Canis lupus familiaris: one gene and its partners. The protein of the gene in region 1 purifies or fractionates together with the protein of each later gene. This does not show direct contact. Links are inferred from orthologs where the notes say so. Each region holds a gene or a part of one and is shown on either strand. Other genes may lie near its edges. The genes, in order: DDX39A, API5 and THOC1.

The links.
Region 2: the proteins of DDX39A (region 1) and API5 fractionate together in Homo sapiens (co-fractionation; 3 studies listed by BioGRID, with this or other methods). This does not show direct contact. The link is inferred for Canis lupus familiaris from reciprocal best matches to the Homo sapiens genes DDX39A and API5.
Region 3: the proteins of DDX39A (region 1) and THOC1 purify together in Homo sapiens (affinity purification with mass spectrometry; 3 studies listed by BioGRID and IntAct, with this or other methods). This does not show direct contact. The link is inferred for Canis lupus familiaris from reciprocal best matches to the Homo sapiens genes DDX39A and THOC1.

Annotation. Positions count from the first base shown.
Region 1 is NC_049241.1:48,594,828-48,598,968, forward strand, and holds the start of DDX39A (ATP-dependent RNA helicase DDX39A), read left to right. Parts: upstream 1-1,315; 5' UTR 1,316-1,333; intron 1,334-1,382; exon of another isoform or gene 1,383-2,346; 5' UTR 2,347-2,497; intron 2,498-2,774; 5' UTR 2,775-2,859; coding exon 2,860-2,864; intron 2,865-4,141. UniProt on the Homo sapiens protein: Helicase that plays an essential role in mRNA export and is involved in multiple steps in RNA metabolism including alternative splicing. Regulates nuclear mRNA export to the cytoplasm through association with ECD.
Region 2 is NC_049239.1:26,730,712-26,734,302, forward strand, and holds part of API5 (apoptosis inhibitor 5), read right to left. Parts: intron 3,487-3,591; coding exon 3,382-3,486; intron 2,490-3,381; coding exon 2,400-2,489; intron 1,217-2,399; coding exon 1,035-1,216; intron 578-1,034; exon of another isoform or gene 1-577. UniProt on the Homo sapiens protein: Antiapoptotic factor that may have a role in protein assembly. Negatively regulates ACIN1. By binding to ACIN1, it suppresses ACIN1 cleavage from CASP3 and ACIN1-mediated DNA fragmentation. Also known to efficiently suppress E2F1-induced apoptosis.
Region 3 is NC_049228.1:67,189,866-67,194,111, forward strand, and holds the start of THOC1 (THO complex subunit 1), read right to left. Parts: upstream 2,802-4,246; 5' UTR 2,708-2,801; coding exon 2,654-2,707; intron 10-2,653; coding exon 1-9. UniProt on the Homo sapiens protein: Component of the THO subcomplex of the TREX complex which is thought to couple mRNA transcription, processing and nuclear export, and which specifically associates with spliced mRNA and not with unspliced pre-mRNA.

The DNA of each region.
Region 1 (4,141 bases):
CAGGATTCTGTTTATATGAAATTCAAGATCAGAATTATAGAAATCTACATCGTCTTTTGCCTGGTTAGGGGGAAGGGGTGCGGTTCACCAGAGAGGGGCACAACAGGACTTTCTGCGGGGATGGAAATGTTCTATATTTTCCCTGGGCAACTGTCACTTGCCTGTCAATCTTCAAAACTCCGTGTACTTTTTCTTTTTACTATAACATTTACCTTAGTAAAGTACCGGGGGTAGGGGAGACAATGGGACGTGGGTAAAGTTGGGAAAATGTAATACAAGGGGAAAAGTAAAATTTAAAAAAAAAAAAAAAAAAAAAGCTTTATAACGAAAACCCTTCTGGTTTGGGTTTTGTGGCCTGAGCCTGGATGGCCACCTGCACACGATTTGACTCAGGACGAGACTCTCAGCAAAGGGGAGCTGGCACAGCCGGCGCAAACCGTCCCCTCCACGCTGGAGTCATTCCGGTCTCCGATCCTTTTCAGGACTCCTTCAGAGCCCCCACCCTGGAGAACCGAGAGGCCACCGCGGGTTGATGCTCCCTTCCAAAGCCCTGAATTCCACAGCCAGGCGTAGGAGCCACGCAACAGCAACGCGAGATACTCGCACAGGGTAAATCCTCCCCGGCTTCGGCTGCCAGTACTAAACATGGCGACGCCCACCAAGGGCAAACCGCCAATCGCGTGGCAGCGCACGGGCTCACGTCGGCCTCAGCCCAGGGCGCCTACTTTTAGATTGACCAATGAATCCGAGGCATGGGGCACGCCCCGTTTGCTGCTTTCACCAATAGCCTCCAGACGCCTCCTGCAGGACCCAATCACCGCTTCCGCCTCTCTTGAGTGAAAAGCCAGCCGTCCAGTGAGCAGACCCGCAGTCCGACGTAGGAGGCAGGAAGCGCTGCAACTCGTGTCGGGGCGCGCGGCCGGTAACCAGAGTCGGACGGCTTTCCTCGCAGCAGCACGCGGAGGCGAACGGGGAAGCAGGTGAGCGGTGGGTCTGGGGCGCGGGGGCGCGGTGCGGAGACTTCGGACCTGCGGGCGAGCGGGCGAGGGGAGACGCCGGGGGTTGAGGGGAAGAGGAAGAGGAGGGGGCGCGAGACGAGTGGTGGGGGGGCGGAGCGGTTTGGGCGTCAGCCGCGCGCGGCAGCAGCCGTTGAACGCCACGGCGCATGCGCGGCCCGGGGGGGGGGCGCCGGTGGCTGTTGGCGCGCGGGGAGTCATCCCGCTTCCGGGAGTGGGGCTGTCATGGCGGCCCGCGGGTCGACCCCGACTTGGCGAGGAATCCTCTCTGCTCGAGGAGACTGCCTAGGCCGTTTGGGGAGGGATTCGGGGTGTGGGTGTGTGTGTGGGGGGTGACGCCAGGGCCTGGGGTTGCGGTGGGAGGAACCCGAGCTTGTAGCCACGACAGGGGACTCTGTTGTGTTCTTGCTCTGTGTTTAGGGAATTCGGGGTTCCAGAGATTTAGAGCAGAAAAGATGTCTCAGAGGCCGACTCCGAGGTGGAAGTCTTCCCTGGAGGCACTTTGAGAGGGAATGGGTACCCGTGGGCGTGTCTGGATTGACACTTCTCGGGCGTCAGCCTTCCAGTTGGTCTGCTCCGGGGGCCTCAGCCGTCGCAGCCACCCCCGCTGGGTGGGACTAACCCCCACCGTCCTCTCCTCCTCCAATTTGTTTTGAGCTTTAGATTTTTGTGTAGCCACTTCCAAGAAAATCTTGTTCGTCAAACTCGGGCCGCCCCTTAATATCGCCCCCCTAAATAACAAAACGCCTTCTTTTGACCTGTATTTTTCTCTAAAATGCACCATCACCTCTTGGGGCACCCGGGTTTAACAGAGTAGGTGACTAGGCTTTCTCTGCCCAGGGATTACCCCAGAGGTGGCCCTGCCCTGTTGAATGATCCACCTTATTCTTCCCTCATAACACCCCCACTGTGGTTAATTCTTAGTGACTGGTTTTCCCTGTTGCTGTTCTCGCCCGCACTCATCTTTCTACTCTTGGAGTAAATTGCTTGGGGCAATTGAGTCACGCAACTCAAAAAATCTCATCAGTGAAAAATAATCTCATCAGTGATTCCCTATTAGGGAATAAAGCGTGAATGCCCTCGACTTGATCAGCTTTCCCAAGTTTGTCCTCTACCTCTGCTTCAGCCAGCCAGTCTTGCTCTCCATTCCTCACAAGGGCCTGGTACTTTCTTTGGGGCTGACCTTTCCTAGCTCCTGTTCTTTTCTCTGCTACCTGAGAAATAACCCCTCCCTGTTCAGATTACTTTTTTCAAGAATCAGTTAAGGATATATGCTTGCTTTAGCCCCTAACCTTGCCTTGAAACCTGAATTCTAATTCTATTCATTCAGCTATTGCTGTTGAGTGCTTTAGGCTCTGGGCTGGCAGGCCTGACTTTTAAGAGGGTGCTTTTCTACTCGGGGCTGGCAAGAGATGTCCTGGAGTCAGAGGCCTGACGGAAGTGAGGGGAATCCTGACCACTTTGGGCAGCAGAAACAGCAGGTACAAAGGTGCTGAGGCATGTTTGAGGCACAGCAACAAGGCCAGTGAGTGAGGGCAATGGAGGAAGTGAGGTTTGAGTGTAGAGGGGCGGTCGGTTCATGTAGGGTCTGATGGGTCATGGTGAGGATTCCTGAGTGTTCTGAGCACAGTGGGAGCTTGTGGAGGGTTTTGAACAGAGGGGTGACATTCTCTGATGTAACTTTTACACTTTGGGGAGAGAAGATGGAAGGGGATGGAAAAGGGGAAGACCAATGAGGAGACTATTCCCATAATCCAGGCACAGGGTGATGGAGCTCAAATCATCAACTGACCGTGGATAAACTGGTATGCCTGTACAGGGGAATGTTCAACTCTGACAAGGAATGAGGTACGGATGCAAACCACACAGTGAGCAGATGAATGTCAAAACATGCCAAGTAAAAGAAGCTGTATGAATGGTGGCATATTGTATGATTCCATTTATGAGCTGTCCAAAACCAGCAGATTCATAGAAAACAAAGTAGGTTAGCTGTTGCCAACGGGGTGGGGGTGGGAGGGAAGACAGGTAAAGGGTCCCGGTCTTTTTGACCTGACCGAAATGTGTGATGCACTCCAGCTGCAGTGGTCATTCCACATAGTTCTGACCGTTCTAAAAATATTGAAAACCAGTGAACTGTATGTACATTTTAAGGAGTGAATAGTAGGCTTGTGAATATCTCAGTAAAACTTCTAATTTTAAAAGAAAGGTGAAGGGGCACCTGGCTGGCTCATTCAGAAGAGCACATGACTCTTGATCTTGGGGTCCAGAGTTGGAGCCCTGTGTTGGGTATAGAGATTATTTATATATAAAAAGAAAGAACGGTAGAGGTAGCTTGAGACCAGTGAGGTGGCAGGGGTGAGAGGTGACCTGATTGTCCTGTTGGGCTGACTGGACTGGAGGAGAGAAAAAGCCAGTGAGAGAATGGAATTGCCTTTTTTGAGAAGCAGGTCTGCAGGAAGAAACAGAGGGGGGACCCCTGGGTGGCGCAGGGGTTTGGCGCCTGCCTTTGGCCCAGGGCGTGATCCTGGAGACCCGGGATCGAATCCCACGTCGGGCTCCCGGTGCATGGAGCCTGCTTCTCCCTCTGCCTGTGTCTCTGCCTCTCTCTCTCTCTCTCTCTCTCTCTGTGTGACTATCATAAATAAATAAAGGAAAAAAAAGAAACAGAGGGTTTTGCTCTGGGTCTTTTGAGTCCAGCTTCCAAGGGGAGATGTAAATGAGGCATCTGGGTAACCAGGCTGTTGTTGAGGGGATCTGGGTAACTTATGGCCAGAGACATAAGTTTGGGACCTCTCCACACAGATGTGATTAAAGCCCTGGGGCTGGATGAAGGCGCAGAGAGAATGAGAGAGGGAGGACCAAAAAGTGGGCCCAGGACCCTCCACATCCAGCTCAGGAAGAAGAGGGACTGCTTCACCACTTCCTTGCTCTGGATTTGGAGGCTGGGGTGGGGTTGGGAGGACAAAAGACCATAATCTCACTTTTGGGTCCCTTGTAGCTTACATCCAGTAGGTGCTGTGCATGTATTGGATTAAATAAAGCCAGGAGGTGAGCAAGTTTTGTATTCTCTTTACCATCTCAGCTCTACTTTTATTGGCTTGGGCCCAATGGGAAGCCTGTTCGTG
Region 2 (3,591 bases), on another chromosome or scaffold:
TTTTAAAGGAATTTTAAAAATTATCAATATATGATCACAAGAGATACATAAATAAGTGAAATAAAAGCAGTTTTCCTTTACCAAAAATGCGAGTAAATCCATACTCAACCTGGCCAGGGAAAGATTTGTAACACTGTTCTTGTTATGTCAAAATGCAAGGCATGGTCAGAGTGAACCAACTTCAGGAGCCACGGATAAGAATCAGGTGGCCTGGGTTCTACTCTTTCAGTGGCCAACTGAAGGTCAAGTGACCTTAGACAAGTCACTTTAACCTCTATGTATTTATCTGCTAACAAGGGATGTGTTTGACCCTCAAGGTCTAGTTAAAAATAAAACCAAACCGCAGATTGGAGAATTTATTATAAACACATATAAATCTCAAAGACTTCAAAGTAATACTTTTTTCAAGTCAAGGCAGTATATAGCCTTCCAGGAAACTCTGCTTAATAACCTGGCATCATTTTTTAATTTTTGGAGTAATTTCTTAACTTGCTGCTTCTGATCAAATGTTTTACCAAGTATTAAACCATTGTCTTACCAAAGAGTAGAGGATGGTAACAGATGATGCAAGTGGCCAACCATTTCAAAGTTTAAGATGTGAAGTTGTTAATAAAATGATTCAATATGAAATGTGTTCATGAAAATAACGTATGATTTCTCTAGTGTTGCTCCTCTAGAACACTCTAAGACATTAACCACGAGTTTACAGAGTATCCACGATGTGCCAGGCACTGTGCTCAATGAGGCAGGTGCTGTTATCATTAAGTAACTGCTGGAAGTTAGAGAGGTTGGGAACCTGCTCAAGATTATAAAGCAAGTGAGGAGAGTGAGTCTGTTTTTGAAAAAGTTCCTTCCCTGACCTGGATTTGTTATGCCACAGGTTTATATACATTCCTGTTTGAGGGTGTTCCATTTTGTCCCACGGGGTAAGGCAGGGTTGGGAGACAGCTCTTGTAAAAGGAAAAGAAAACCAAGGGAATATCAAGATAACCATCATCTTTGCCAACGATCGGACCACTTCAATTATACATCACCTAATTTTAAAATCTTTCAGTTTTTCTGCATTTAGCTTGGCTGTTAAAAAATCTGGAAGTTTTCTGCCCAGCTGGTGGAAGCTGTACAACAAACATTCCACATAGCTGAACTGCAGCTTGGGTTCTTCATTACCAGCATTCTCCCCATTTTCTGCTTCTTCTGGAGGGAGAGGCATGTACTCCTAAGAGATAAAAATATAGAGATATTTGCAATCTGCTATAAATGCTCTAATTATAAACATACACTGAAGTAACTGCAGGGCATGCTTTTAAGGCATGAAGCATTAAAAACTACCAAAATCAGAAATTTAGGTAAGCTATCCCTTCTACTTTTTGGATCAATGATCTAGCCTCCTCCACATTAGATAGCTGCTGCTACCACCACCACCACCATTACTACTATTATTACTGACAGTGAAGTAGATAACCTTTATTAAACACTTATACAAATGAAGTAACTGAAGTTCTGAGTGTAGGTAATTTTTTTTTAAACATTTTATTTATTTCTTCATGAGAGACACAGAAAGAGGTAGAGACACAGGCAGAGGGAGAAGCAGGCTCTCTGCAGGGAGCCCGACATGGGACTCGATCCTGGGACCCCGGGGTCATGCCCTGAGCCAAAGGCAGGTGCTCAACCACTGAACCACCCAGGCACCCCTGTAATTTTTCTATGGTGAAACAGTAAGCTGAAGAATCAGGATTCAATCTAGATTTGCCACCAAAAGCTGATGCTTTTAACCATTTTATTAAGGTAATTCCAAAAATGTTTTATGAACATTTTCCTACATTGTTTGACTCTCATTACGTTACAAGTACTGCCAAACGCATTCGATACCAGTGCTGCGAGCCCCTGGTAGGCGTTACATGTCTGGAAGAGCTCCAGATGCTGGATGACTCCCTTTATCACATTATAGGTCTAATGCTTATCACTCATTGTGTCAGGTATACAACTGCTTACATCCAACAAGGAAATCACTTGGTGATGTTGAAAATGATTTTAGCAGATGGCCTATTTTCTCCAAAATTATGACTTGAATGACTTTATTTCCTAGCAGCTATAGCTACTTGGCCTTGTGCAGCAACCTGGAGCAAATGTGAAAAATATTTTGATAAAGGAATACCAAAAAGATCTACTATAAAAACCCTGTTATCTTTTATGCAAAGCATCAACAAAAGAAATGCCAAAGATTTTCTTTTAAAAGTAGAGAACATGTGGCCCGAACAACTAAAAACACCTGCTAGAATCATTCTAATTACTCTACCCAATCTGAATTTCAAAAGTTGGTTCTCTAGAAATTACACCACACTATTAGACTCTGGGATTACACACTGACTATGCCATAAGAAAAGAAAAAAAGTCCTTACCAATAACTTGTCAAATAGTTTCCTTAAATTTGTTTCTAGCTTTTCCATGTCACCACAAAATGAACTCATTTCTGCCAAGAGTTTCAATACCTAAAATACAGAATTCACTGTTAATAGCATTTTTTTTGAATGAGCAAGGGCTGTAAAATAATGATTCTAGGTAACTTTTTAAGACTTTTGCTACAGCTTAATATTGTACTATGAAGAGACACTTAGGAAAACTCTTAACAGCAAAGAATTATTTACATTTAGAATGGGCTTCATTTGCTATTAAAGTTAGTCTCTGGACACTAACTCAAAGTATTGGTAATTGCAAGTATTCTTGAGGTCCATCTCTCCTTTACTCAATCCCAGTCTAATAAGCCAAACCCAGGACATCTGAAGCAAATGACAGTGTCCGTACACAGTGGGACTCTTGTGTATTCCAAAAACCTATGAGAAAATGGCACATACATTTCCACATTTCAGCTCAATTCAACAATCATTATTAAGTGCCTTTCAGAATCAGACTCTGCACTAGACTCTGGGGCTATGGAGATGAGTCAGTTAAATGTGAGATAAATGTGAAGTGTTACATGTGCTGTGGAAAAAAAGTATATGTACACTATAGTTCAGATACAAGGGAGAGAGTCATCAACTATACTGGAGTAGGGATAAAGGATATTTTGTGTTAAGCCAGTTTAAATCTGATTCTATCAATTATGGATAGAGATAGGAACAGTCATGAATTAAGCACCTTATTTAAAAGTATTAAAGCTACAAAGAGTAAGAGAATCATGAACACTACAGGCAGTGCTTTCCCAATGCAACAAACTTTCATTAAATTCATAAAGCATTCCTATGTGATTAACCCTGAGACAGATTACTAGCTAGCTCTAACACCTTTACTCTCTTAGAAATCAGGTCTCTACCTTAGTGGCTTATATTTATGTTAAAATATGGGAATGCCTTTTTAGTACTAAAGAAGACATTTTTCTCTTACCTCCAACTGTATATCAAGACCCTCCACTGGGGTAGTCAAGGAACTGAGGTTGGGAAGAACCTGCTCACAGAAGTAAGTCACAAACCTTGTGGAATGCACATTTTTCTGTAAAAATCCAAAGAACAATGAGTTGTCAAAAAAGGCGGGGATATTCTTTCACATAGAATAGTATATTATTTAATAAATGCTGAGCATGACAACATCAAGTAC
Region 3 (4,246 bases), on another chromosome or scaffold:
GGTAGACTTCTAGAAAAATAAAAATAGCATGTAAGTGGAAAGATTTTTGCCTATTGTTTACTGAAAAACATCACTCATCAACAGTATATTTAACTAGAAACACTTACACTTGGGAAAAACTATCAGTCATTCCATCAATAATTCTTATTCAAATGCCACTTAATGATGCAAACTCTAATCACTTTAAATTTGACAAGAGCTTACCAACTAGACTTTCTTATTCCAGGCTTTCCCTCCTTACCATTTCTTTACATATCACATTCATGAGAGTATTCTACTTTTTTTTTTTTTCTAAATCTCCAAATGGCTCCTTATTTACAGGCTTTGGTTTTAAAATTTCACAGCTCCCTCTCAAGGTCCTTGATGCTATCACCTTCAATCTATCCAATCTTATTTCCCACTACCATCTAACATACAGTTTCCACTAAGGTCTAGACATTTTTTCATTATTTTCTACCAAGCTCACTCTAGTGTATTCATTCACTGTTATTCCCACCTGCTCATGCAAATCCTATCCATTCTTCAAGACCCATCTCAAGTCCCATCTTCTCTAGTTTTGCTCAGCCCAAGTCTCTAACACACAGTCAACACTGAATACCTGCTAATTGTCTTAGTCATAAATGAAAGTCAAGATAATAAAAAGGGGATTCTGACTCAGTAGCTAGACCATGTAACTTCTGACATCCGGGTTGTAAGTCAAGCCCTACTTTAGGTGTAGAAATTATTTAAAAATAAAACCTTAAAAAAAAAAGAAATATGAAAGACAAAAATACTGCAAAGTCTTTCATTCTGTAGAAACTCACATACACTTGGAAAGTTATCTCACTACCCCCAGGAATTCGATTTACACTGGAAATGTCCGTTCCTGACTCTGCCAAGAGTAGACTGTATAATCCTCGGCATATGCCAAGAGTAGACTGTATAATCCTCGGCATATCTCCTTATCTCTTTGTGCTTCAATTTCTTTACCAGTTAAATAAGGGGGCTGTCGGGCAGCCCTGGTGGCCCAGCAGTTTGGCGCTGCCTTCAGCCCAGGGCCTGATCTTGGAGACCCTGGATCGAGTCCCACTGCCGGCTCCCTGCATGGAGCCTGCTTTTCCTTCTGCCTGTGTCTCTGCACCCCTCCTCCCGCCCCCACCCCGTGCCTCTTATAAATAAATAAATAAATAAATAAATAAATAAATAAATAAATAAATAAATAAGCAAGCAAGCTGTTGTAGATGCCTGGGAACTTAGAAATACAGACTTTCAGGCTCTATTTCAGACCTACTACACCAGAATCTACATTTAACAAGATCTCCAGGTGATTCCACTGTACATTACACCTTAAGAAGCACGGGACTAGATGATCTCAAATTAAATGGTCCCCTCCAGGACTAGTATATTCGGTATTTCTTTTTTTTTTTTTTTTAGATTTTATTTATTTATTCATGAGAGACACAGAGAGAGGGGCAGAGACACAGGCAGAGAGAGAAACAGGCTCCTCACAGGGAGTCCAATGTAGGACTCGATCCCAAACGCGGGGATCACGCCCTGAGCCGAAGGCAGACGCTCAACCGCTGAGCCACCCAGGTGTCCCCATATTGGATATTTCTAACAATTACTCTTAGCAGAATTTCAGAGCACCAGGGATTGCAGAAAAATACACAGAAAGAAAACGATTCTGAAGACATAAACGAGATATTACTTGGTTAACAAACGAACGCTCTTTGCATGGGATAAAAAAATAATGTGCACACAAGAAAACTCTTTATTCTGGCGTCACTAAAACTAGGTAAGCACAGTTAACTATTCAAGTAGTTGAATCATAACTTGAAATATTGGCGCAAATGCTAAAAACAAATACAGGCAAGCAACTCAGAACAGGGTTCTTCATGCTCTGATGGGCAACGTAAAATGAACACTGGGTCTGACGTCAGAAACACGAGCGAAGTACATCACCTTACTTTTTTTGGGGGGAGGGGGTGTGATCTCAATTTCCAGCTCATCTACCAGGCTTTAATAGAACTTTGCCTACTTCACAGTGCTATTCAAAGAGTTAAATACGCTAACATGAAAACGCTCTGTAAGGCTTTCCCCAAATGCTCAAACTACTCTTCCAAACTGTGTAAGTATAAAATGACATCCAGCAACAATCCCCAAGCTGATCTCTCTGCCTTTTCCTACTTAGGATCTCGTTAATCTCTTGGGAGCGAGATACGGAAGGCTAAAGGCTGGTGAATAAGCGACCGAGATCCACGACTTGGCAGCTGAGGAGGCGGAGCGCGAGCCAGTCCCCTGGGCTAAGATCACTCCCGCCCTCACCCGTAAGCAATTTTGGAGACACCTGTCCGGCTAAGCGAGCACTGCGGAAGAGCTCGACCGCACCGGAGGTCGTGTGCGGATGAGCCCTCCACGCGGGGCACAAAGGCGCCCAGACCGCGAGGTTCAGAGACCTGCCGACAGGAGGACGGAGGCGGACAGCACGGGACGCACGGAAGAGACAAGTAATGCGTCTTTCCCACCTCCCCGCCCCCGACGGGGCCGGGAGCCGACACCGCGGGGCACACACCTCAGTTCCCGCCTTACTCCAGGGCAAAATTCGAGTATTTTCTGGGAGAGGAGGAAAAAGATAGAGCCAGGTCAGAGCCGCACCCTCCCACAGCCCACTAACCGTGAACCGCGTCCGCGCTTCGGGCAAACTGAAGAGCGGCGGCGTCGGAGACATCTTCCCGGCTGCGCGTGCCCGCCACCGCGCTGCGGCGCCCGCCGATGACGTCAGGCGGGAGCAGCGAGATCGCGCTGTCCGAGCGCGGCTAGAGCGGCCTGTGAGCCGAGGGCTAGGCCCGCTGGCGGCCGGGAGCCTCGCTGGTGACAGTTCGGCCGGCCGTTGGCGGGGCTGAGTCAGCCACAGCGTGCTCGGTCCGGATTCGTGGAGCGCCCTCGGGGTGACGGCATAGGGGCGTCCTGGCCCTGTCGGCGTGGTGCTGCCTGGCGGGGACTAGGCCCTCGCGCGCACCTGCGGTGATTTTCCGGCTCTGGGGAAGCTGGGCGAATGGCGGCCAGTCAGGCTTACTGAGTCGCGCGGGAAGGTCACCTCGGCCTGGGAATCCAGGGCAGGTGGGTCATCCGGGGGTGCCCCTGGCGGGTGAAGTGGGGGCGGTGCCTGTGAGCCCCGGACGGCAGTCATTCTCGCCGAGGGAGTGCTCTTAGCTGCTGCCTTGCTGAGTAGTTAGTCCACGGACCCTGTAGCTTAGGAGCAGTTCCCTCTTCCGTGAAGTAGAAATAATGCCCGTTTTACAGGACTGTGGAAAAGCACAAATGAAATAATGAAAGCAAATGTGGCTTCTATGGGACTAGGAGTATCATTGTCAGTTTTTTTTTTTTTTTTAAGATCTTACTTGTTTATTCATGAGAGACCCAGGCAGAGGGAGAAGCAGGCTCCACGAAGGGAGCCCGACGTGGGACTCGATCCCGGGACTCCAGGATCACGCCCTGGGCTGACGGCGGCGCTAAACCGCTGAGCCACCCGGGCCGCCCCTCCTTGTCAGTCAGTATCTTAGTGTCCGTTGACTTTTCTGCATAGAGAGGCCTCTGCCGAGAATTTGCAGTTCTCGGCGCTCATTTGCAAACGGGCGGCACCCGTTACAAAAAACGCTTTCTCCTCAGCAGTTTCCTCCCCTGTCGCCTCACTGGAGAGGCGTGGCCAGGGAGACGCCAAGCGGCACTAACTTTGTCGGTTGGAATCATGCTGCGGAGAAAGCAGCACCGACCGGAACACTCAGTACTGTTCCCTCCCATGTATACCTTCTCCCTTCATTGGCATCTAATAAGAATACAGGAAGCTTAACCAAAAGATAACTTTGCATAGTTTTGCCCATAAGTTGGAATTGTCAGACAGTGGTGGCTACCTGAAGCATTACAATCTTGTTTAGGAATCAACTGAATCATTCAAGTTTGAGTGTATGACTTAAATTCCAAATCGGCTGGAAAAAAACAAAAACAAAAACAACAAAACCCAAACCTGGTATTAACTGATTTAATAGGTAGCTGATGTAATAAGATTATTATTATATTACAGATTATTATTAACTGGAGCACAGCTAAGACCTAAGAAGTAAATAATTTTTCTGGGGACGCCTGGGTGGCTCAGGGCTCCGGAATTGAGTCCCACGTTGGGCTTCCTCACGGGGAGCCTGCTTCTCCCTCTGCCATGTCTCCGCCTCTCTGTCTGTGTGTCTCTCATGAATAAATAAAAAAGTAATAA